Linked DNA regions of Daphnia pulex. The protein of the gene in region 1 purifies or fractionates together with the protein of each later gene. This does not show direct contact. Links are inferred from orthologs where the notes say so. Each region holds a gene or a part of one and is shown on either strand. Other genes may lie near its edges. The genes, in order: enhancer of mRNA-decapping protein 4-like, enhancer of mRNA-decapping protein 3-like and 5'-3' exoribonuclease 1-like.

Region 1 (6,959 bases):
TTTATCTTTAATTTAGGTGTTAACCGATAAGCAGCATCATCAGGCAGCAATAAACGAGTACAACTTTGACCACCCAGACGCGTTTGATTTTGAATTGTTGCGCAAAACACTGCAACGTTTGAAACATTTCAAGAGTGTCGAAGTCCCTATTTACAATTTTATCACGCATAGTCGGGAAACCAAGACTGTACGCAATTTGACGATAATATGATTTCAGAGTTTTCTTTATTTTCTATCTTCTTGTTATCTAACAGAAAACCATGTATGGTGCCAACGTGATTATCTTCGAGGGAATTTTGACGTTTTACAATCAGGAAATTGTTTCGGTAAATAGATGTGCTTCACACTGACTATTGAAAAGCATTCTGTTTAAAAAGTGGAACCATTTCTTATCAGTTGCTGGACATGAAAGTATTTGTTGACACGGACTCGGATATACGGTTGGCGCGGCGTTTGCGGCGCGACATCTCTCAACGCGGACGCGAGCTAGAGGGAGTCTTGAAACAATACAGTTCATTTGTCAAACCATCGTTCGAGCACTACATTGCACCTCTGATGGCGCACGCTGATATTATCGTTCCTCGTGGTGGTGACAATGAAGTCGCCATCAGTCTTATTGTGCAACACGTTCAGACGCAACTACAATTGGTGTGCACGATATTACTTCTTGGAATTAATACGATTGGTTATTCTAATTATTGTTCTTTATTCCACAGAGAGGTTTCAAGTTAAGGCCCATCTTGGCTACCGCACAAGTGGATCAGCCACTGCCAAACTCTCTTCATATTCTGCCGTTAACCCCGCAAGTCAAGGGTTTACACACTTTCATTCGTAACAAAGAGACTCCTCGTGATGAATTCATCTTCTATTCACGTCGGCTGATTCGATTAACAATAGAGTTTGCTCTGTCTTTACTGCCGTTTAAGGTATAACCTCCCTAATTAAGATACGCATAAATGTTGTTATTAAAGAAATGGATTGTTTCTTTAGGATACCACGGTAGACACACCACAAGGAGTTTCATATCAAGGGAAGCGCATAGCTACTGATAAAATCGTTGGAGTTTCCGTTTTGGTAATTGGTTAAAGCTTAAATAAATACCATAAAATATTTTTAAAAAATACCGTATCTTTAGCGAGCTGGAGAAACTATGGAACAAGCACTTTCTGAAGTATGTAAAGATATTCGTATCGGGAAAATCCTTATCCAGAATAACATCGAAACAGGAGAACCTGAAGTAAATAGCTAATCAATTTATTATTATTACATTACTTAATAACAAGTTCCTTTTTTTTAAATGAATTTTAGCTGTACTATCTTCGACTACCTCGTGACATTAAAGACTATCTAGTCATTTTGATGGATGCAACTGTGGCGACTGGAGCTGCAGCCATGATGGCGATCAGGGTGCTCCTTGATCATGACGTTCCTGAGGAAAATATCCTAGTCGCCTCCTTACTGATGGCCGCTTCAGGTAATCAAAATTGAAAAGAAATCATCTTAATCGATGCTTTATTTTTCTGCTTATAAATAGGTGTACATTCGATTGCCTACGCCTTTCCCAGGGTGAGAATTGTTTCCTCTGCAGTTGACCCAGAAATCAACGAAAAATTCTTTGTCAAGCCTGGTATTGGTAATTTTGGAGACCGATACTTTGGCACAGGTTCGTCGATTTTTATCTATTATTCATAATAAAATTACTCATCTTCTAAATAATTGAATTATCTTCTAAACATTTTTGTTGTTGTTAATTTTCAGAACCCCCTAATGAAATGTAAAGAAGATTTCCTAATTATTTGAAATAGCTGGATTCCCCTAGTGTATTTTTTCTGTCCCCCTATATGATGCAAGAGACCACTCAGTACTTAATTTTCTTTCTCTTATAAAATTGTGATTTAAAAATCTTACAGATTAATATCTGGACCAAACAGTCATAGAAGACTAAATTAAATGTCTTTTCTTATTGTTTCCACTCAGTCAATCTGATGTTTTTTTACACAGAAAAGAACATAAAAATTTTTGCTTTCTCCTATTTTAGTTTATTATACTTACTAACTGATTATTGGCAAACTCGTGAAAAAGAACAATAATACATTTTGTGTTAATGTGTTATAAACGGCCATTTTTCTTCATTTCAATAAAAAAAATTATATTTCAATGAAATGAATTAAATAAAGACATTAAATAGTTTGTTGGGCATAGGCATTTTAGGCAACAACCAACATTTACCGCCGAATCTTGGAAAAACAAAGATAAACGTTTGTTTATCAACATGTTTGTAAGCCGCGGTGCGATCTTCTTTTGTTTTCGGCTCAGCAGTTACGAGTTACGACGAAGCGAAATCAGACACACAGTTTGTTGCACTTGCACACCGGTCGATTTCGTCGGAGTCGTTTGTCTTTATTAGTTCAGTTAGAAAATTTTGTAAAATTCATCTGTATTTTATCGCACGTGGTTGGTTTTTCTCGCTGATTATACACCCGTCGAGAGATTCACCATGAGCTGCAGTTTTAATGGTCAAACGAGCAAAGATGAGGAACTTACCATGTGTGTGACTATTACTTAACAAATTATTGAGAAAGACTTGATTACATAAATATTTTTACAGTATGTTTTCAGAGGCGATGGATTGGCAAAGTGTTGCAACAAAATCATCAGAAGATGTTGTTATTTATCCAGTTAATGGAGGGCACCGTTCTGGTAGCTCACAGATCAAAGTTAAAAATATAGTTGATTCATCATGGGATAAAGCTTTCCACTGGGGAAACCTGGTTGCCACTCATTACAAGGGGCAATATTTTGCATATGCACTGACAGGTTATTAATACCAACAATGTGCAAGTATTTAACTACATTCACTAATTCTGTTTTGGTTGTTTAGTCCCCGGAAAATCAGCTGGCATGGTTCGAGTGATAAGAACTGGGAGCAGTGATAGAATCCTATTAAAGGGATTCCATGGCTTTGTTCGAGACCTGTCTTTTGCGTTCCATGAGAAAAGGATACTTGTGGCTGCTGTCGATGAATATAGTTACCTTCTCGTCCATGAGATCATTGGATCAACTGCTCAATTGATTTTGCAAGTGAATCCCGATGGAATTACTACTGCCACCGACTGCCATCGTGTAGTCTGGTGTCCCTATGTCCCAGAAAATCCCAAAACTCTAGGTTTGTTGTTATTTCTATTAGAATTTGTATTTTGTTATACTAATTTTCTTGTTTGATTTTCTTTCTCACAGATGAATTGAGTGATGGTTTGAGAAATGATGCTGATGATCATGCATTAATGCTTGCAGCGGTACATGATTGCCGTGTGGAAATATGGCATCTGGGTCATATCAATGGAACAGTCACCTACCCCAGTGTGACTACTGGATCCACTCAAATTACCTCATTTGATGATGCTGTTGTTGATGTGGCATTTTCTCCAGATTCAACAGCAATTGCTGTCGCCAGTTTGGATGGCTACGTCAGATTCTTTTTGGTATGTGAAAATTACTTTTAACTAACTAGGCATTTGCTAAATGCTGCAATTTTTATTCTAGGTCAATATTAAAAAGGAAATTCCAAAAATTTTGCACAAGTGGCAACCACATGAAGGAAAAAGACTCTCAGGCATTATTTTCTTGGACAATCTCAGTCATCCAACTATCAGAGAGTAAGTCTATTTTGTTCGGCATTGTTTCTTCCAATCCTCAACGACACTCTTCGATTCGTCTATAGATGTCCGCTGTGGAAGTGGGCAGTCACATCCGCGGAAAACAACACAGAGTTTAAGCTATGGTCCTGTGAATTGTGGAAGTGCCATCAGACGATCCGTTTCAAATCGGATGATTCTATTCCCATTATCCAAAAAATGACACTCGACTTGTCGGCTTCATTCCTTCTTATTTCCGACATTCATCGCAAGGTTATTTATATCCCACCTTTCTTTGATTTACTCAACTCTCATACCAATCTAATTTTGTCAATAGGCTTTGTACGTTATGCACATAGAACAGGAGCCAGAAGAGAGGAATCCGCTCTCTGATGACGGCGAAGTACCTTCCAAATCGGAAGAACGAACCATCTCGAAAGTGAGCAGCATCACTCAACTCCTGTTGCCTTTCTCAGCCATTAGTGTTGCCATCCGGGAAGCTTCAATTAGGCCACCTTCCCAGCCATTGGGTGACGAGGACTTTGATGGAGATGAAAAGGCCAGTAAAGTGATAATGAAGATGTTCGTAGTGCAGCCCAAGTCGCTGCAAAAGTGCAAAGCAGTCTTTGAATTGGGGACTTCGGTCCCACTGGGCGAGGCTATTGGAACCTCCTTCTCCACCATCAACACCACGTCGGAGTATGAACCGGTGAATGTAGTCAAAACAGCATCCGCTACCAACCACATCAACCTGTTGACACCCGACGCGTTCGTCTCTCCAGCCAAAACCAACACGGATTCCTCATCTCAAAAGCAATTGATTGTGACTTCACCAGGCACCGTGAGTCCCTTGCCGCCTGCATCAGGTGAGATCCTGGCCCTTTCAAGCCCACGACGACCGACACCTGAGGTTACCTCATCAACGACGCCGAAGCGGAACGGCATTCCCAGTGGGGGTAGCAGCCCCAGTCGCGAAGTAGAAGAAATCCTGGGAACAAGACCTATGACGGAAGGCTCGATCGAGTCACCCGATACCTCTTCCGCCACCGTGCCTACAGGTCCAGCCCTTCAAGACGCCTTATCGGCCTATCCCATTTCGTTATCGCCGGCTATGGGTCGCTCAGCCTCGGTCAACAGCAAAGGACCATCCCCCATCATGGATAAAGTAGGGCGTATTTCGATCATTTGCCGATCATTTGCCATTTGTAATTACTATTTGCACACCTCATTTAAAATCTAGTATAACGCACCAACTGTTGAGGATCCGCTATGCACTTACCCTACTTCCGCTGTTGCAGCTCCTACTCCTTCCTCCGTATCTGCGGATTTAAACGGCAGTTTGCTGGAATTATTTAAAGAAGCCCTTGTCGTTGAAGTAGCTTTCGCTTTATTCTATTGATTATTGGGTTATATGTTGGTGTCTAATATTTGAACACACCCCGACACACATCCAGGCTTTGCCAGCGCAAGCAGCGTGGCCGTCCGTTCTTCCGCCACTCAACGTTCAACAACTACAACGGCCCAAAGAGCCGCCAGTGCGCGAAACGGATGCCGGAAATTCTGCTCAGATGCAAATGATGCAACAGACACTGGACCAATTGGTTCAGCTCGTCTCTGCTCAACGCGCAGAACAACAACAACTGAAGAGCGAGATTGGTCAGTTGAAGGCGGAAATGACTCGGATGCACTCACCGGAACCCATCCAGCCTCCATGGATCGCTCAGATGGAATCCACTTTGGCCGTTTATTTCGATCGCCAGACTAAAAAGTTGGACGAAGTTAATTCTCCGGCAAAAACCCAACAAGTATTTGACTATTGAAATCAGTTAATTATTTCTTGTTGATGTATTTTTCTATTATTATTATTATTTTCTAGTCCGTGTCGAAACTTCAGTCGACGATCCGATCCGAATTCGAGAACAAGGCGCATACACTGGAGCAACGAAGTGTTGATTTTATCCGCAAGGAATTGCAATCGGTCATTGCGACGGAGATGAATAAACTGGAACCGTTTTTGAAAAACTCTACGATGCAAATGATGAGCCATTTGTCGCAGAACAAGTCCATCATCGATGCGTACAGCCAAGCTACTTCGACGGCGGCCGTGTCGGCCATGAATCGCGGCTGCAAGGATGCCATCACGTCACAGCTGCTTCCGTCGCTGGAAGTCTCGTTCCAGACACTCTTCGCCCAGCTGCACAACACTTTTTCCAAGGGGATCACCGAGTGTGAGCATTCATTTAGAAATGACTATTCAGAAAGGATTTGCGTCACTCGTCACTTCAATATGAATAACGTTACCTTACCAGTCGTACGAAACATCGAGAGCAACCTGGAACGACACCGCAGGCTGCAAGACAAGGAATCGGCCGTTCAACTCAACGCCACCATGGATAAGATTGCCGTCGTTTTGGACCAAGTCCGGCAGTCGATTTCGTCCGATACCAAGACGGAATTGAAGAAAATCTCTCACGAGTAAGATCTAATCTATCCAAATTCTAACCTAATTAGAATTTCTATTGAAATGTTCGTTGTTTAATTCAGATTTCCGGAGAGGGTTCGTGTACTTTTGACTCCTGTGATCCAGTCCGAGATGCAACACGCCATCAAGGATCAGAAAGCGGCTCTGGACGGTGCCATGTTGGCAGTTCACGTAATTCTCTCACCCTATTTACCATTTTTTTATTTTTTATTTCGTCGTTAATCTCATTATCTATTCCCTTCCAGCAAGCCGCCCAAATTCAATCGCGCGCTGTGACGCCAGCGGTGGTGGAGCTGACGCCAGCCGAGCATCAAATCCAATTGAAACACATGATTGACCAAGGACGATTATTCGAAGCTTTCCAGAGGGTAACCGAGTTCTTTGTTTCATGCGGTAATTTTTCATGAATATTCATTTGTTTTAATGATTCAGGCGCTCTACATGAACGACTTGAGTATGGTAACGTTCGTTTGCTCAAAAGTCGATGCCGGTAAACTCTTCGCCTCGGATCCTTGCGTCTTCCCACCACAAATCCTTTTGGCGTTGATCCAGCAACTATCTGCAGATCTTGGCTCGTCGACTGAATTGAAATTAGAGTAAATGATAAACATTCCATTAATTAGAATTTCATTAATGAATTTGAATTTGGCAGATATCTCCAAGAAGCACTCTTGGCTGTGAACACTCAAGATCCGCAGATTAAGGAGCACGCACCCAAGGTGATGCCTCAACTGGTGGTGAATTTGCATGCCCAGCTGGCCAACAATCTTAGTGTCACACTGCAACGTCAATTGCGCATGTTACTGCGCTGTGCCGAGCCATTGGCTTCAGCCAAGTAGGAC
Region 2 (6,180 bases), about 6.6 Mb from region 1:
CAAACTTCAAATCAAGGAGCCAAGCGCTACGTCCTAATCCACCGTCCAGATTCAAACATGACTCATGTCATGCATGTTTGGGGCCCTTCAAGTATAACAGAACAAACTACCATTCCTATTCGAACAGCTGCTGATCGCGAAGCAAATAATCCTTCTGGAGAAACAAACCCATCATCACAAGTATAGTATTTCTTGCTTTAACACTAGTTGCCATACAATTTTAATCGCCTTTTTTTGTACTTGTCCAGGGAAATCAAAAGTCATCTTCTTCAGGTGCTGAGGGTGGCAGTGGCATTTTTTGTCCATCTGGATCTGGTGCATCAGGAACAAGTGCTGGCAACAGCGGAGGAGACGATGGGGATAAACCTCCTTCGAGTCCATTAAGCAGCAATCATGTCGATGAAAATTTAGTCATGGAAGACGACGACGAAGAAGAAGACTCTATTTCACTTGATTTCTTGACGACAATTCCATTGGCTACCAATTCTGTTCCAAAAGGGAGGAGCCCTGCTCATCGCCATATTCGACATCAGCGCAATGCTAAGCGGATACTTGACTCTTGGATGGCCGATGATGACCCAGTGCAGCCACGCAGCGATGGTACTGCTTAAATTTTGTTTACTGATGATTATTATAATAATCAATATTTTTTAAATTTTATTATTGTTAGCATATGCCCAAATTTATTTCATGAAAGTTCGAAGTCGGTTGGAACAATCAAATCCCGTGGCGTTTAAAGAATTCTTTACTACTTTGGGCCAATTTCAATCTAGTTCTGGTTCATTCTTGGAGTTGTACAGAAAAATCGAGACTATTTTGAAAGATAACATGGATTTGTTGGAAGAGTTCGTTCTCTTTTTAAGTCCAGAGGCAGCTGCTCAATGTGGAGTACAGTTCCAACATTTTTTGTACGTCCGAATGCGCGAATTTTTCTCAAAACTGAAGGTAAATGTCTTTCTTGGTTCTAACTTTATGAATCCGACCATGTTTTTTTTTTCAATTACAGATTCATTTCAAAGATAGCCCTTCACAACTCAAGCGAACTCTGAAGACCCTTCAGCAAGTGGAAAGCAGTGCGTCACCCAACATAAACGACATAAAAAATGCTATTCTTCCTCTGCTCAAAGGAAACGCTCATTTAACGCAGGGTTTTCTTCAGCTTTTTCCTGATGATGCACCACCTCCAAGGTAAACCAAAACTTTTGTGAAAATATAGAAGAAAACTAATTTCAAATAAAACTTGCTCCTTGATTATAGCGATTCAGGGGACTTTGAAGATGTAAATATGGATCAAATCAACAGTGGAGACGAATTTGAACATGTCCACATAAGTGAAGCAACTAACACTCAAGCCAAAGAAAATGAAGTGAAATCAGGAAAACGAACAGGTATGAAAGGAAGTGCCAAGAACAAGAATAAGGGGAAGTCTTGGAAGAAGTCATAGTCTCAGTATATGTTTTATAGAAAATTTGTTGTCTTTATTACCGAAATTCATGTAAATACAGACGCTTTCGTATTAATCGTATACATAGAATGGTGGTGTAGATTCTCAGCAAGACTCGTGCAGAGTTATAACAAACTTGGAGCCAAAAGGTGAATCGTACTCTATGCCTAATGATTGGAAAATCTTGCGAGGTGTAGAAAGTGAGTAAAGGTACAATTTTCCATCGCGATCGCCGTATGCTAATGGTAAGTCGGCCGACAAAGTACATTTAACATCCAACCAAGGCGTAGCATTAATAACAGCAGATGGAGGTTGATCGATTGCCATTGTGGGAGCGCGCTGCTTGTTTGCCCACTCGATGATTCCTTTCATCTTCGAGATTTCGTCGCCACCTCCCCAGCTTGGAGGAAGCAAAGAAGCAACGATCAAATCAACCGAGGCAGATGGCAAGTCTGTTAAGAAATCAAGTAAATTACAATCGCTTAATTAAAATAGCAACAAATGTATTACTTTTTTCGTTGTTGATGACTGATTGACCCGTGAGTTTGTATAGTTCAATTTCTTTCTTCAAATAGTGGGATACAGTCAAAGTTTGTAAGTAGACGACCGTCTGAACTCCTAGAGTGGCTAAATGACGAGCAGCACAAACAGCACCAGCAGCTTCTGGATGGTTACCACATAAAACTACGACAACTGGTTTTTGATGAGAATTTTTAGGTGTCAAGCGGTGAGGACCACCAACAAAGTGAAGAGCAACTTCGGCAACTGCTCGAGCTATCGATTCTGATCTCCTTTCAACACTAATGCCTAGTTTTTCCATGGAATCTTGCATTGCTTTTCTCAGTTCAGGACTTGCACTGGGTACAACTAATCCTGTATCTGTAAAATTAATAATTTAGTGAAATAAGAAATTAAGAAATGCACTAATGTAATGTACCAGTAAGGAATTCCTTTGTTGATGGTGATGGAAGGTGAATTTGGCGGTATGTGGGGGGTAGGGTTTCCAGAATGTTTTCATCGTGTCTAAAATTGGACACTGTTCTGGCTCCAGGACCAAGAGGAGGACCTTGTTGTTTTCCTGACTGTATCTCTCCCATTACTGTTTTCTTATCAAAGAGTGCCAAATTGGTTTCAAAGTCAAAATCCTTTTCCATGTTGACATCAGTTCCGAAGCAAACATCATCTTTTCCAACTCTTCCTTTCATTTTATTTAGCTTGTTTGGTGTGTCTGGAGGGGCAGGCTGAGAAGAAGAACTTCCATAACCATCAAACTTACGGGGAGAGTCTCTGGCACTGGTTTTGTTTTTATTCCGCTGAGATTCTAAATGCTCAACTTCTGCTCTATTCCCAATTTTGTCATCCTTAGGTGAAGGAATGATGGCTAGACTAAGAATGTCTTTAGCCAGCAATGTTACATCATCAATAGATGATTTTAAACCATTCTTCCAAACATCTTTCAAAGTAAGTGTTTGGTTAAGGGTATCCACATTACTTACTTGCCCTTGATAACAACCGAATAACTCTCCACAGTCGACTGTCACATATGAGCCTAAATACTTTCCACTCATATTGTAACTTTTGTAATATAGAAAACAGGTGGTTAAAATGTTTGGAGATAAAAGCCGTTAAAACGAAGTCACTCTCACTCAAATGAGTCGTTTGTGGGCCAAATGTTTTCTATTCGTCTGCTCACGAGGTGAGCATCCACAGGTGAACGATCTAACATAGTGAATTGAACTTAACTGGGCAAACTCTTTGTCTGATTGTCTCTCTCTTTGTTTACCGTTTATTTGGTTATTAGTCTAATTGTGCGAAGGGTTTCCTATTCCCAATACCCAATTGATAAGTAAGACATAGCCACAATGCCACATAGCAGCTATTTCTGTTGGTGTTGCACAGTAAAAAAGGAAACTCATCCGATTTCAAGAGCGAAATTTTTGTGGCAGACGGACATATATATCACAATGTCAATGATGCGTAAAAAATAAGCAAGTTAAATTAGTTATCGGTTTATTAAAGTGAGCTTGAGACTATTAAAGGTTACCTTTATTTAAATGAGAAAAGTTGTTTTGCCACTAGGTGACGCAACTGTTTTTAAACCAGGACATTTGCATGAAGTACATAACTGTCTGTACATTTGTTCAATGGATGCCGAGCGACAAAGTTCCCTTCAAGTCATCCCTTTGTTTTACGCTAAATTTACTTGAGTTAAGGAAAGGCCGTGCAGGTATGGATAAAAATTCGTTGTCAACTTGAGTGACGGACGGTATGGTAATATAAATTAATAGTATAACAACTGCCCTGGCCCTTGCAGGAACTTTGGACTTTTTGACCGCGGATTTCGAAACAATGGAATATTTCGTTTACTGAATAAGAATTGTCATTTAACTTTCAAAAATGAAGAGGTGGTAACGGAGTAAACGGACTAACGATGAAGAATTCTTATTGGACGATTTGTTCAAATTCATCATGCAACATTGCCTCCGCGCCCTAAATTTTAGTGCTTCAAATCATTCAAAATGGCCGGCGCCTGGCGTAGTGTTGTGACAACAATTCCGACGATAATTGTTATTCTTAGGGATATGGTAATCTGTTATATTTTACGTGTATAATTTTTAGAGTATCTGTCTGTCTGGTATTGCATTTTTACTATGACACCTTTTGACGAACTTTATAAAGATCTTGAATGGCTGTAAAGAAGAGTTTACATCGATCATGCGATATTTTTTGTCTTCATTTTTAACGTTGGGTTGGATAGATTTGAATGGTTTACTTGATAACACACTATTTCGATTCTTATTTCATTCTTGACTGAATATTTTCAGATAATATCTTCAGCTGAAGGCTTCATGGTTCATGTGATCTAGGTGCTTGTGACAGTGATAAAATGGTCCAATTCAAGCCGAATTCAAGCTGTCTTCCAAAACCAAGGAAATTCTGTTTGCAAGGTAGTTGCATTTTGACTAACATTTATATTTACTCCTGTGATATTTAAGATGGCATAGTATAATTTGGTAAAAAAACCCTTTCTGAAAAACATGCTTTTCCACTTGTTGCTGGATGGATTGTTTTGGGGTTTGTTCCCATGTCGAAAGAGAAATCCTAGCTCACACCACACTTAAAAGGATAGCATGGTCGCCCCTTCCCTGTCTGTTTGTAAAACCCAAGTGGGCAATCAGATGCTCCTGGTAGAGAAATTAAAACTGGTTTGTTATATTTGCATAGCCAACCTTATTATGGTCAAGATCCCAGTTTCCCACACGTATTTAACAATTTCGAAAGCCGACTTCCTTTTTCATTCACTTAATAGTCTAATTTCCGTAATGTACTCTCTGTAGCAAATCTAACCGTGAATGAACTGGAATTTTCACTTGGTGAACATTTTGGTATTCTTTTTCTATTTTTAACTGCCTAGTTGTAAACCTATCCTATAATGATTATTTCACTTGATAGCTAAATGGATAAAAACATGATTTCTTCTTAATTTTGTAAATAGTCCATTCGTTTCTCGTTTACTGCTCTTGGCACATAGTTCTGTTATGTTTCATAACATTTAATTTTTCTCTTAGAACGCCAATATGTTCCATCGGGATATTCGGTCACATCGTCAACAATCACAAGCTATTCAAATATCTATGCATCACCTATTTATGTGCCAGTTCCCGTTTCACTGCCTTCACAAATCAATCAACCGGAGAGTGGAACTTTTGGATTCAAAAGAAAGAGTTTCTCAGTTGGAAGATCTATAGCGGATGCTGGGACTACAGAAAAAGATTCAGGAATTGGAGATTAGTTTGCAGGAAGCCAAAACCAAACAGGCTGTTCCTCCCAGTGGAATTAAGAGCCAGCAGGTCGTCATCGAAAAATCGATATCGCAAGAAGCCGAACTTTGTGTGTTCCTGAAAAGAATCCTTCTACCTCATCTTTTCTAAAATTCTGAATGAAATTGATCTTCTGCAAGTCCGATTGAGCAATGTGATCGCCTCAACCGGAGCTGTTGTTGTCAACCGTCGTCGCATTGGAAAGATAACGGCGAGGCTCGATCGTTCGCCAAGATGATTCAACGAGAGGTTGAAGCCCTTTCAGCTATCCAGCACCGCAATATTATTGGACTGCTCGGTCTTTGCACGGATAACGAATCGAGTGATGGTGAAGCATCGATTAGAGTCTCGCTCATCTTTGAATTCGCCAACGGAGGGACTCTTTTCGACTGTCTTTTCGGTGGTCAAGCAAAAAACAGCAAATTCAAATTAGACGTGAATCAAATGATGCTGATCGCTCGCCATCTCACCGCGAGGCTCTCCATCTATTGCATTCCACTCAGCAGAAGCCGGGCGGTTCAGTTATGGTCTACCGTGACGTGAAATCCGCCAATGTTTTACTGTAACGGGATGACGAAGGAAGAGTCGTACGAACTGTTTTGGCCGATTTTGGTTTGGCACGTTTTCATTCGAAAGTTTCTCCGGCTCTGGCCTAGCAGCCAGTTCCATGACAGCCGTGGTAGGCGTGGTAGGTACCCACGGCTATGTCAATCCTTTGTATGCGGCGGTACTGTATATTTTCAACATGTTCCAACTGATGCAGTGTTTATTAATTATTTTTCAATTACCATTGTAGAGTTTAACCTACAGACGGGCTGGCTAGTTTGCGTGTCCTTCACGCTTGAAGGTCGCGGGGAATATTACGTTAAACTGTCAATGCGAATGAAACGTGTTCCACATCATTATCAAGCAGGT
Region 3 (7,062 bases), on another chromosome or scaffold:
TTGACTTGTTGAACTTTAAGGATAGACCGACGTTGACTTTCTTTGGTCTGCGAGGCCTGTCCGAGTTTTTCTCCTCTTCGGTCGGACTTAAAAGAAGATAGATGGTCCCAGTGATTCGTGAAATTAAATGCGTGCTGATACCGAGCCGCTTGGCTCCAGCATAGCCAGGCATGTAATGGGCCTGTGAGGATCGTTTCTTAACTTCTTCGACTTCTGGTTCGTGAATGTTGTCAAATTCAATGCGGATTTTTCCTTTGAGGTTCTTGTCAGCTGATAAAACTTTGCCCTGTAGACCGTAGCCAGGATGGCCTAACATGAAACAGGCCGAGTTCTGTGAGAAGACTTCAGCGAGAGTCGAAAACTGGTGGCAAACCGTCTCCTTGACTTGCAGTTCTTTGACAGTGGCCTGGAAGGCGTAAGGGACTGGGATAGGGCTCCATTGCTTCTCCAAAGTAACACGCCCGTTTTGAGTGTAAACATATTTTCGCCCGGTAATTGGTGCGGCGTAAACTAAAATAGGCGTAGTCCCGATGTCAACACCCCATCGATTGGCATATCTATAATTGCGAAAGCGGCATTAAGCAAATTTGCACACCAGCAAATGACACCAGTCAGACTCACCGCGTACGAATTTCCTTTTCTTGCAAGCGCCAGTCGTCCACGTCTCGCGGCAACATTGGCATTTTGCGAATTTCTCCATCCAATTTGTAGGTGACGCTACCACCTTCACCAAACGATTCAATTTCGAAGCTGTATTTGCACTCTGTATTGGCAACAGCCACAACCCGAGCTTCCTGCAAGTGAGGCCAACTGACGAAGACAGTCTGCCCGCAATAGCGATTCCCGATGTCGTTGATATCAGGCACCGTTTCTTGGACCAGCGACAAAACCTGCGACTCATTGAGGGTGTTCATGTTGAACACACAGATGGAAGACTTCTTCAAACTTGCCTAAATGGATATACACTTTTATAAACATGTACTTGAATATTAAAAGATTGTCAATCAATGTTACCGTATACGGTAGATTTCTCATCGAGGGGAACCCGGGAATGTATCGATCGGGATTATAGTTAGGGTGAAGACCCTTCACAAGTTGATCGGATGAGATGACGAATGCGTCTCTGGTTATCTCCTTGCATCGGCAGTGATTGTGAGGGATAGTAGGAAAGTAAGCAGGTGCAACACACTCTCCTGCAAATACAATTTTACCAATTAGTGATTATCCCTACTCAGAACGATAATTTAAACTTACCAAGATCCTCTTCACAAAACACATAGACTTGCATGGGGCCGTGCCGATTGCGATTTTTCTCTTGGTCTGATAATCGCGACTCGCAATCTTTCATGGCCGATATAAGTCGCTTCTCGTCGATAAAAGGAATCAGCACTACAGCCTCCCACTCTTGTTGTTTCCCATTCTTGTCCGTCTGCAATAAAAAAATAAATGATTAATGCAAAATTACTGTTCAACCCATTTGCGCCAAAATATTTACACTAAAATTAGACGGGTAATAATCGATAATCGGACTGTCGATGGAGGACATCAAACTGTGATGAGCAACCGGTAACAGGGCTTTGCTGGCTGCAGGTAGTACTCCCAACAGCTGCTCGTAGGGCAGGAAAGGCTGGCCGAGATCATATTTCAACTTGAGGTTGGCGAAATTACGGACATCAGAAACGTAGGGAGCATAATGATGTGGGTAGTACCAAGACCACGAGCACACACCATTATAATAATAGTGAAGGATCCATTGAATGGCAAGAACGTAACCCTCGGCTTGATCCCGAAGGACATCACTAAAAAAAAATTAGTTGTCAATTTAATGTCAACATTGTTATTCGACATTTAAAGAAATACAATTTACCTGTCGACTTCGCTGTATTCCATTTTTTCCATGTAATAATTCCTCTTGTGGGCTTTGAATTCCAGCTGAAATTGCTTGTCTTCGTCGGCCGACGTGTACTCGTCATCGTCGGAAACGTAACTTTCTCCTTCCTCATCATTGGTTTCCTCGTCAATATCAGGTTCCGTTTCTTCTCCGCTTTCCGTGATACAAGCTGAGGCGTCGACAAGCTTGTCAACAACAATCTCATCAGAATCGGCGCTATCTTCTCTCAAGAGATCGTCAACTTCAGCAGCCTTGGCAAGCAAAAAGCTGGCAGTATCAGAGGGTCGTACAGTAGGCGGTTTTTTTTCAAACTCGTACTAAAAATAGAAAAAAGGAATGCAATCGAAGATGCTAAAATTAATCTAAGATGCGGCTACCTCGACTAGTTTCTTGCGACCGTGTCGACTCTCCAGCCATTTGACATCAGCGAAGGTGTCATTAAAATTTTCGTAGTCTATGAGCGCTAGACGTTCCATAAACTTTTCGAACCGTGGCAAGTTCAGCTGACCGTTCTCGTTAATATACCCATCCAGAGTGGGTAGAACTTCCATGTAAGCCGAGTAGAGTAGCGGTAATGCGCCTTTGTTGATATGGAAATGTGGAAGATTAGGAATGAAATCGTTTCCAACCAAAAATCCCATCAAGACCTACAAGGAAAATTTCACTTAAATTATGCGTGAATTTTTTTAAATGGGTTTAAACTATAGCTTACCCAGTCATCAATAATATGCTCCAAGTCGTAGGGAAATTTCAATTTAGGCTTCACAGAGGCAAATTCAAGATCCAAATATTCACGGAATAGTGACAAATGCAGTAAATGAAATGTAGTCTCCTCAGGAGTCGTAATCCTCTTTTCATTTTTCTTTCCACCAAATCTAACCTATTTCGGTGCAACAACAAAAAATTAGTTCTCGACTCGTTTTAAAACAAAAAGCAGACCTTCGTACTTCTTCACGGAGCAAGGAGAAATATGGTTCGTGAGAGCACAAACCCAACATCATGAGATCAGCATCTAACCCATAAAGACAGTGACGAGTCTCGGCGTTGTAGTCTGGTTGACTTCTTTGAAATCGAATAAACTCCATAATCTTGTGCTCACCTTCTCCAGGAACCTGTGAAAAGTGAGTTGAGCAAGATTTCATGTTGTGTAAATGGTTGACTAAATTACCTGATGTCCAGACAAAATGACTTGCGTATTTTGCCACAGAGGATCAGTAGATACTTTATTGGTGACAAAAAATTGCAACTGTTTTTGCAGATTGTCCATGAATTCAGTTCCAGGAGTGATGCAATTGGAGTCAAATCTTTTCTCTTCTGGCAAAACCTCACCCTAAATTAGATCAACTTGTTAAAACATTGTTCATAGATGATTGATCAATTTATATACCTTTCTCAGAGCTTCTTTTTCTTTATCCTCAGCTTCCTTAGCTGAGCGGAACCTTCTACCACGCTGCTGGTTCATTTTGGCACGAGGGGCAACTCCATCAATTGCCATGAAGAAGACCTTTTGGGGTCTAATGAGGCGAAACAGGACCTGCATGAAAATAAAGTTTAACAGGTTGTCACACAAAACTACTGTCAGTAACTTACCTCCAAATAGTGAAATATGTCAGAAACAATTTTTTCTTCAGAGATTCTGAAGTGAACATCTTCGTCGTTGGGGTGGGAGCAGTTGTGAATAATTCCATTCATGTCCAGGTATAAATTGTCAAATTCAGGTATCTAATCATTCAGAAATTTATGAAATACAACACATTTATATTGCTAATTTAAATCTTAAGCATACCTGATATTCTTTTACTGTTTCACTTAGGCAAGGATAGCGTTCGCTGATCCACCGGTAAAACTTGGGGACACCCATATTGCAAATTTGTAAGAAACGACTGAGAAATTAATATGTCAATCAACACAATGCAATCTTTATAACTTTATATATCTCGGACAAGTTCTCGTAGTGAGTTTTACGGCGGCTATAAGTGATGAGCTACGAGCCTACGATATGAGCTTTTATTTAGCATACAACCATACAAACACCGAGACAATGCAAAACCAGCCAAAAGCGACATTGCAACATTTTCTCATAGGATTCCGACCGGTTATTTATTTGTTTATTTTTTAAGCTCTTCTTTTTTATTTTACCGTTAGATAAAATAATAAAAAAAAAGTTCTTTGATTAGAAGATATTCCGAATTTTGCAGTGAAATTGAAAACGCATCAAGAATGTAAAATGTCATTTTCTAAAATCTATTGCGCTGCATCAGCAAATGAGAATGACCCTCGACTTTATTTACAATCGTTTCTTCTATTTTGATATTAAAAATGGGATGATCCGATAGGAATTGGCAGTGAGTTTGAAATAATCGGAATATTTATGCTAAGCTCAGCCTTCCAGCAGCGACAATGTCTTCAAATGTCAAAATAATAACATAGTGACAATGAGTTTTGGCTGTGACGTTTTTGTTCCGGGTCCTAGGGGGTTGGGGAAGGGAAAAAAATCCAGAATGGCGTCGACTGCTTTACCTTAACTTTCGTATGGAATGGATGGATGTGTTGGGTTGGCCGTGCAAAAGTTTGATGCCTGAGAGAGAATCTGGCTGTAAATGGTTGAATGTGATGAACTCTAGAGTCAGGTTTTGTAATTAGAGGGTGTGCAAAGTGTGGAATTGAGAGTGTTGTGTGTGTGTTTCTTTCCGAGTGTAAAAAAAAAATCGGCTTCTTCTCTCCCCCCCCCCCTCCTTCCTGGTCCCAGTTGTGTACAGCTAGAGTCGGCGTCGATGGAAACGATAGCATTCATTCCCCGTTTGCGATGATCATATGCCCGTACGATTGGTTGTTGTAAAAGTCGTGAGTATCTCGTCAGTTTATTTAGTCGCCCGAAAATGAGCTGCAGCTACATTCAAGTTGCTGAGGATGAGACTGAGGAGCCCATAGAATTACCCACTGAGGATGACAGTGCGCTATTGCTCAGCACCTTGGCTGCCCAATTTCCAGGTGTTTCGGGCCTCAAGTACAGAGCCCCAGAATCTCGCTCAATGAGAGGTGTCAGACTTCTAGAAGGAAGGTTCCAGCCGCCAGAGGATGGCTGGGGGAACCACGTCTACATATGTGTTTTCCCCAAAGGTAATGATGCATGTCAAACTTTGTTTGGTTTTTCAACTAGACTAAGACGGTTTCTTGTGTGCATTTCAAAACAGAAAACAAACGAAAGTCAGATGACCATCCAGAAAACTCCACAGCCAAAACCAAACGGATGGAAATGAGGCTCAAGTGCTCTGACCTCATTGTGCTTGGATTGCCATGGAAAACATCCGAGCAGGACTTGAGGGTGTATTTTGAAAACTTTGGTGAACTTTTGATGGCACAGGTACGATTCAAGACCACTCCTGTAAACAAAAAGAGTTCACTCTCTTACCCAATGTTTACATGTTGACAGGTCAAGAAGGATGCAAAAACTGGCCAGAGCAAAGGTTTCGGCTTCATACGATTCGCCAATTACGATTCTCAAGTCCGCGTCCTTTCTCAGCGGCACCTTATCGACGGCCGATGGTGTGACGTGAAAATTCCCAACTCGAAAGCGGTGAGATCTCATTCTCGCCTTTAATTCAATTCCGGACGAAATCTGACTGACTTTGTCCCTTCATTAAAACAGGGTGGCACCCCGCAGGTCCCGTGCAAAGTATTCGTCGGCCGGTGCACGGAGGACATCACGGCGGACGACCTGCGCGACTATTTCTGCAAATTTGGCGAAGTGACGGACGTGTTTATTCCCAAGCCATTCCGGGCGTTTTCGTTTGTCACCTTCCTGGATCCCGAAGTGGCCCAGTCGCTCTGCGGAGAGGATCATATCATCAAAGGTAGTAGATGTGCTTTGGATGTCGACTCGAGTCCGAGACGACCGTGCTTGAATGTCTTTCTCGACTTCGCTCCCGAGCAGGTACGTCGGTGCACGTAAGCAACGCCGCACCCAAGACGGACATTTCTTCGCGCTACACGACCTATCAGCAGCCTCCTGCCCACCATCAACACCATGCCCACCATCAGCAACAGCAGCATCATCATCAGCAGCACCACCATCAGCAACAGCATCACCATCACGCTCAGCAGCAGCAGCAACAGCACCACCATCATCACCATCACCACGCCCAGCAGCAGCAGCAACAGCAGCAGCAGTACGGCCACCAGCACCAACAGCATCACACTCCGCCACACAGTCACGGAATGGGACCGCCGGGTCCGTCCAGAGGACCGCCAGCTATTCCCTACACCGGAGTGCTCCGTGGCCCAGGTCAGGGATATTCATCGTAAAAAAAAAACAAAAAAAAAAAAAACAAATAAATCAATAAAAGAACAAGGGGGGCAAACAAATGAAACAAAAAAGGGGGGTTCATTCTTCCTACTTTTTCTTTTAAATAATAATTTCCCATCATCATCTTTTTTTCTTCTTTCGAGTGTGGGTGTGGTGTGGGATCGGAGAGTGAGTGGGTGTGTGATTGTGTGTGTGAAAGAGATAAGATTTGAGTTTTCGTTCTGATAAAAGTCTGACATCGATAGAGATTATCCAGAAAGTTGTTTCTTCTTCCCCCACTATTATTTGATTTTTTTTTTCGTAGAATTTATTATTTCTTCCCCTTTTCTTCGTGAAGTCGAAAAATAAAATTGTTTTTTGGGCATTGTAAATCGCCTTCTATCTTTCTATTTTTTTATTATTATTTTCTCCTTCAAGCCAAAATAATTTGAAATGATTCGATTTAGAACTTTAGTGTAAATTTGTTCGTTTTTTTTCTCGTTTGTTTTTTTTTTGCTTCACAGGCATAGGAGGAGACGGAATGACGTCTAAAGGGGGTCCATGGGGTGCAACTGTAGGTCCGGGTGGGGCGTCGGCCGCTGCGACGGTCAACCCGTACCACCACCAAGGACCCAATCCGTTTCACCAAGGTGCTGCACCCGGTACTAACTCGGACTGGTGGCATTCGAGTAGTTTACATTCTCTTGTTCTATTAAATTATATTCATTTTAAAAAATGACGGACACTTTTACCAATTCACCGATGTCGTTTTTTTCCCCCTACTTCCAGGTGGAGGTGGACCGTCTCCCTATCAGCCGTCATCCGTCGGAGGAGCTTGGAGCGGCCAGCCGCCGCCTCATCAACACAACAATCGACCGCATACCGA

Evidence for each region.
Region 2: the proteins of enhancer of mRNA-decapping protein 4-like (region 1) and enhancer of mRNA-decapping protein 3-like purify together in Homo sapiens (affinity purification with mass spectrometry; 6 studies listed by BioGRID and IntAct, with this or other methods). This does not show direct contact. The link is inferred for Daphnia pulex from reciprocal best matches to the Homo sapiens genes EDC4 and EDC3.
Region 3: the proteins of enhancer of mRNA-decapping protein 4-like (region 1) and 5'-3' exoribonuclease 1-like purify together in Homo sapiens (co-immunoprecipitation; 4 studies listed by BioGRID and IntAct, with this or other methods). This does not show direct contact. The link is inferred for Daphnia pulex from reciprocal best matches to the Homo sapiens genes EDC4 and XRN1.

What each region holds. Positions count from the first base shown.
Region 1 is NC_060018.1:11,849,411-11,856,369, forward strand, and holds the start of enhancer of mRNA-decapping protein 4-like, read left to right. Parts: upstream 1-2,320; 5' UTR 2,321-2,497; coding exon 2,498-2,547; intron 2,548-2,608; coding exon 2,609-2,817; intron 2,818-2,881; coding exon 2,882-3,166; intron 3,167-3,237; coding exon 3,238-3,482; intron 3,483-3,543; coding exon 3,544-3,656; intron 3,657-3,721; coding exon 3,722-3,908; intron 3,909-3,972; coding exon 3,973-4,800; intron 4,801-4,875; coding exon 4,876-5,010; intron 5,011-5,089; coding exon 5,090-5,440; intron 5,441-5,511; coding exon 5,512-6,110; intron 6,111-6,179; coding exon 6,180-6,288; intron 6,289-6,362; coding exon 6,363-6,485; intron 6,486-6,549; coding exon 6,550-6,713; intron 6,714-6,769; coding exon 6,770-6,956; 3' UTR 6,957-6,959. Other genes in the region: uridine-cytidine kinase-like 1, read left to right, coding at 17-187, 255-326, 397-648, 717-926, 991-1,074, 1,136-1,237, 1,309-1,474, 1,535-1,663 and 1 more. UniProt on the Homo sapiens protein: In the process of mRNA degradation, seems to play a role in mRNA decapping. Component of a complex containing DCP2 and DCP1A which functions in decapping of ARE-containing mRNAs. Promotes complex formation between DCP1A and DCP2.
Region 2 is NC_060018.1:5,240,857-5,247,036, reverse strand, and holds enhancer of mRNA-decapping protein 3-like, read right to left. Parts: upstream 3,209-6,180; 5' UTR 3,013-3,208; coding exon 2,382-3,012; intron 2,324-2,381; coding exon 1,955-2,323; intron 1,897-1,954; coding exon 1,550-1,896; 3' UTR 1,457-1,549; downstream 1-1,456. Other genes in the region: uncharacterized protein LOC124210599, read left to right, coding at 1-180, 249-600, 671-945, 1,007-1,188, 1,258-1,444. UniProt on the Homo sapiens protein: Binds single-stranded RNA. Involved in the process of mRNA degradation and in the positive regulation of mRNA decapping. May play a role in spermiogenesis and oogenesis.
Region 3 is NC_060026.1:2,430,489-2,437,550, forward strand, and holds the start of 5'-3' exoribonuclease 1-like, read right to left. Parts: upstream 3,959-7,062; 5' UTR 3,753-3,958; coding exon 3,678-3,752; intron 3,614-3,677; coding exon 3,482-3,613; intron 3,426-3,481; coding exon 3,279-3,425; intron 3,222-3,278; coding exon 3,060-3,221; intron 3,004-3,059; coding exon 2,839-3,003; intron 2,772-2,838; coding exon 2,604-2,771; intron 2,539-2,603; coding exon 2,269-2,538; intron 2,209-2,268; coding exon 1,868-2,208; intron 1,800-1,867; coding exon 1,496-1,799; intron 1,430-1,495; coding exon 1,255-1,429; intron 1,194-1,254; coding exon 1,015-1,193; intron 951-1,014; coding exon 622-950; intron 558-621; coding exon 1-557. Other genes in the region: uncharacterized RNA-binding protein C660.15-like, read left to right, coding at 4,771-5,011, 5,086-5,255, 5,325-5,468, 5,541-5,745, 5,823-6,176, 6,701-6,865, 6,966-7,062. UniProt on the Homo sapiens protein: Major 5'-3' exoribonuclease involved in mRNA decay. Required for the 5'-3'-processing of the G4 tetraplex-containing DNA and RNA substrates. The kinetic of hydrolysis is faster for G4 RNA tetraplex than for G4 DNA tetraplex and monomeric RNA tetraplex.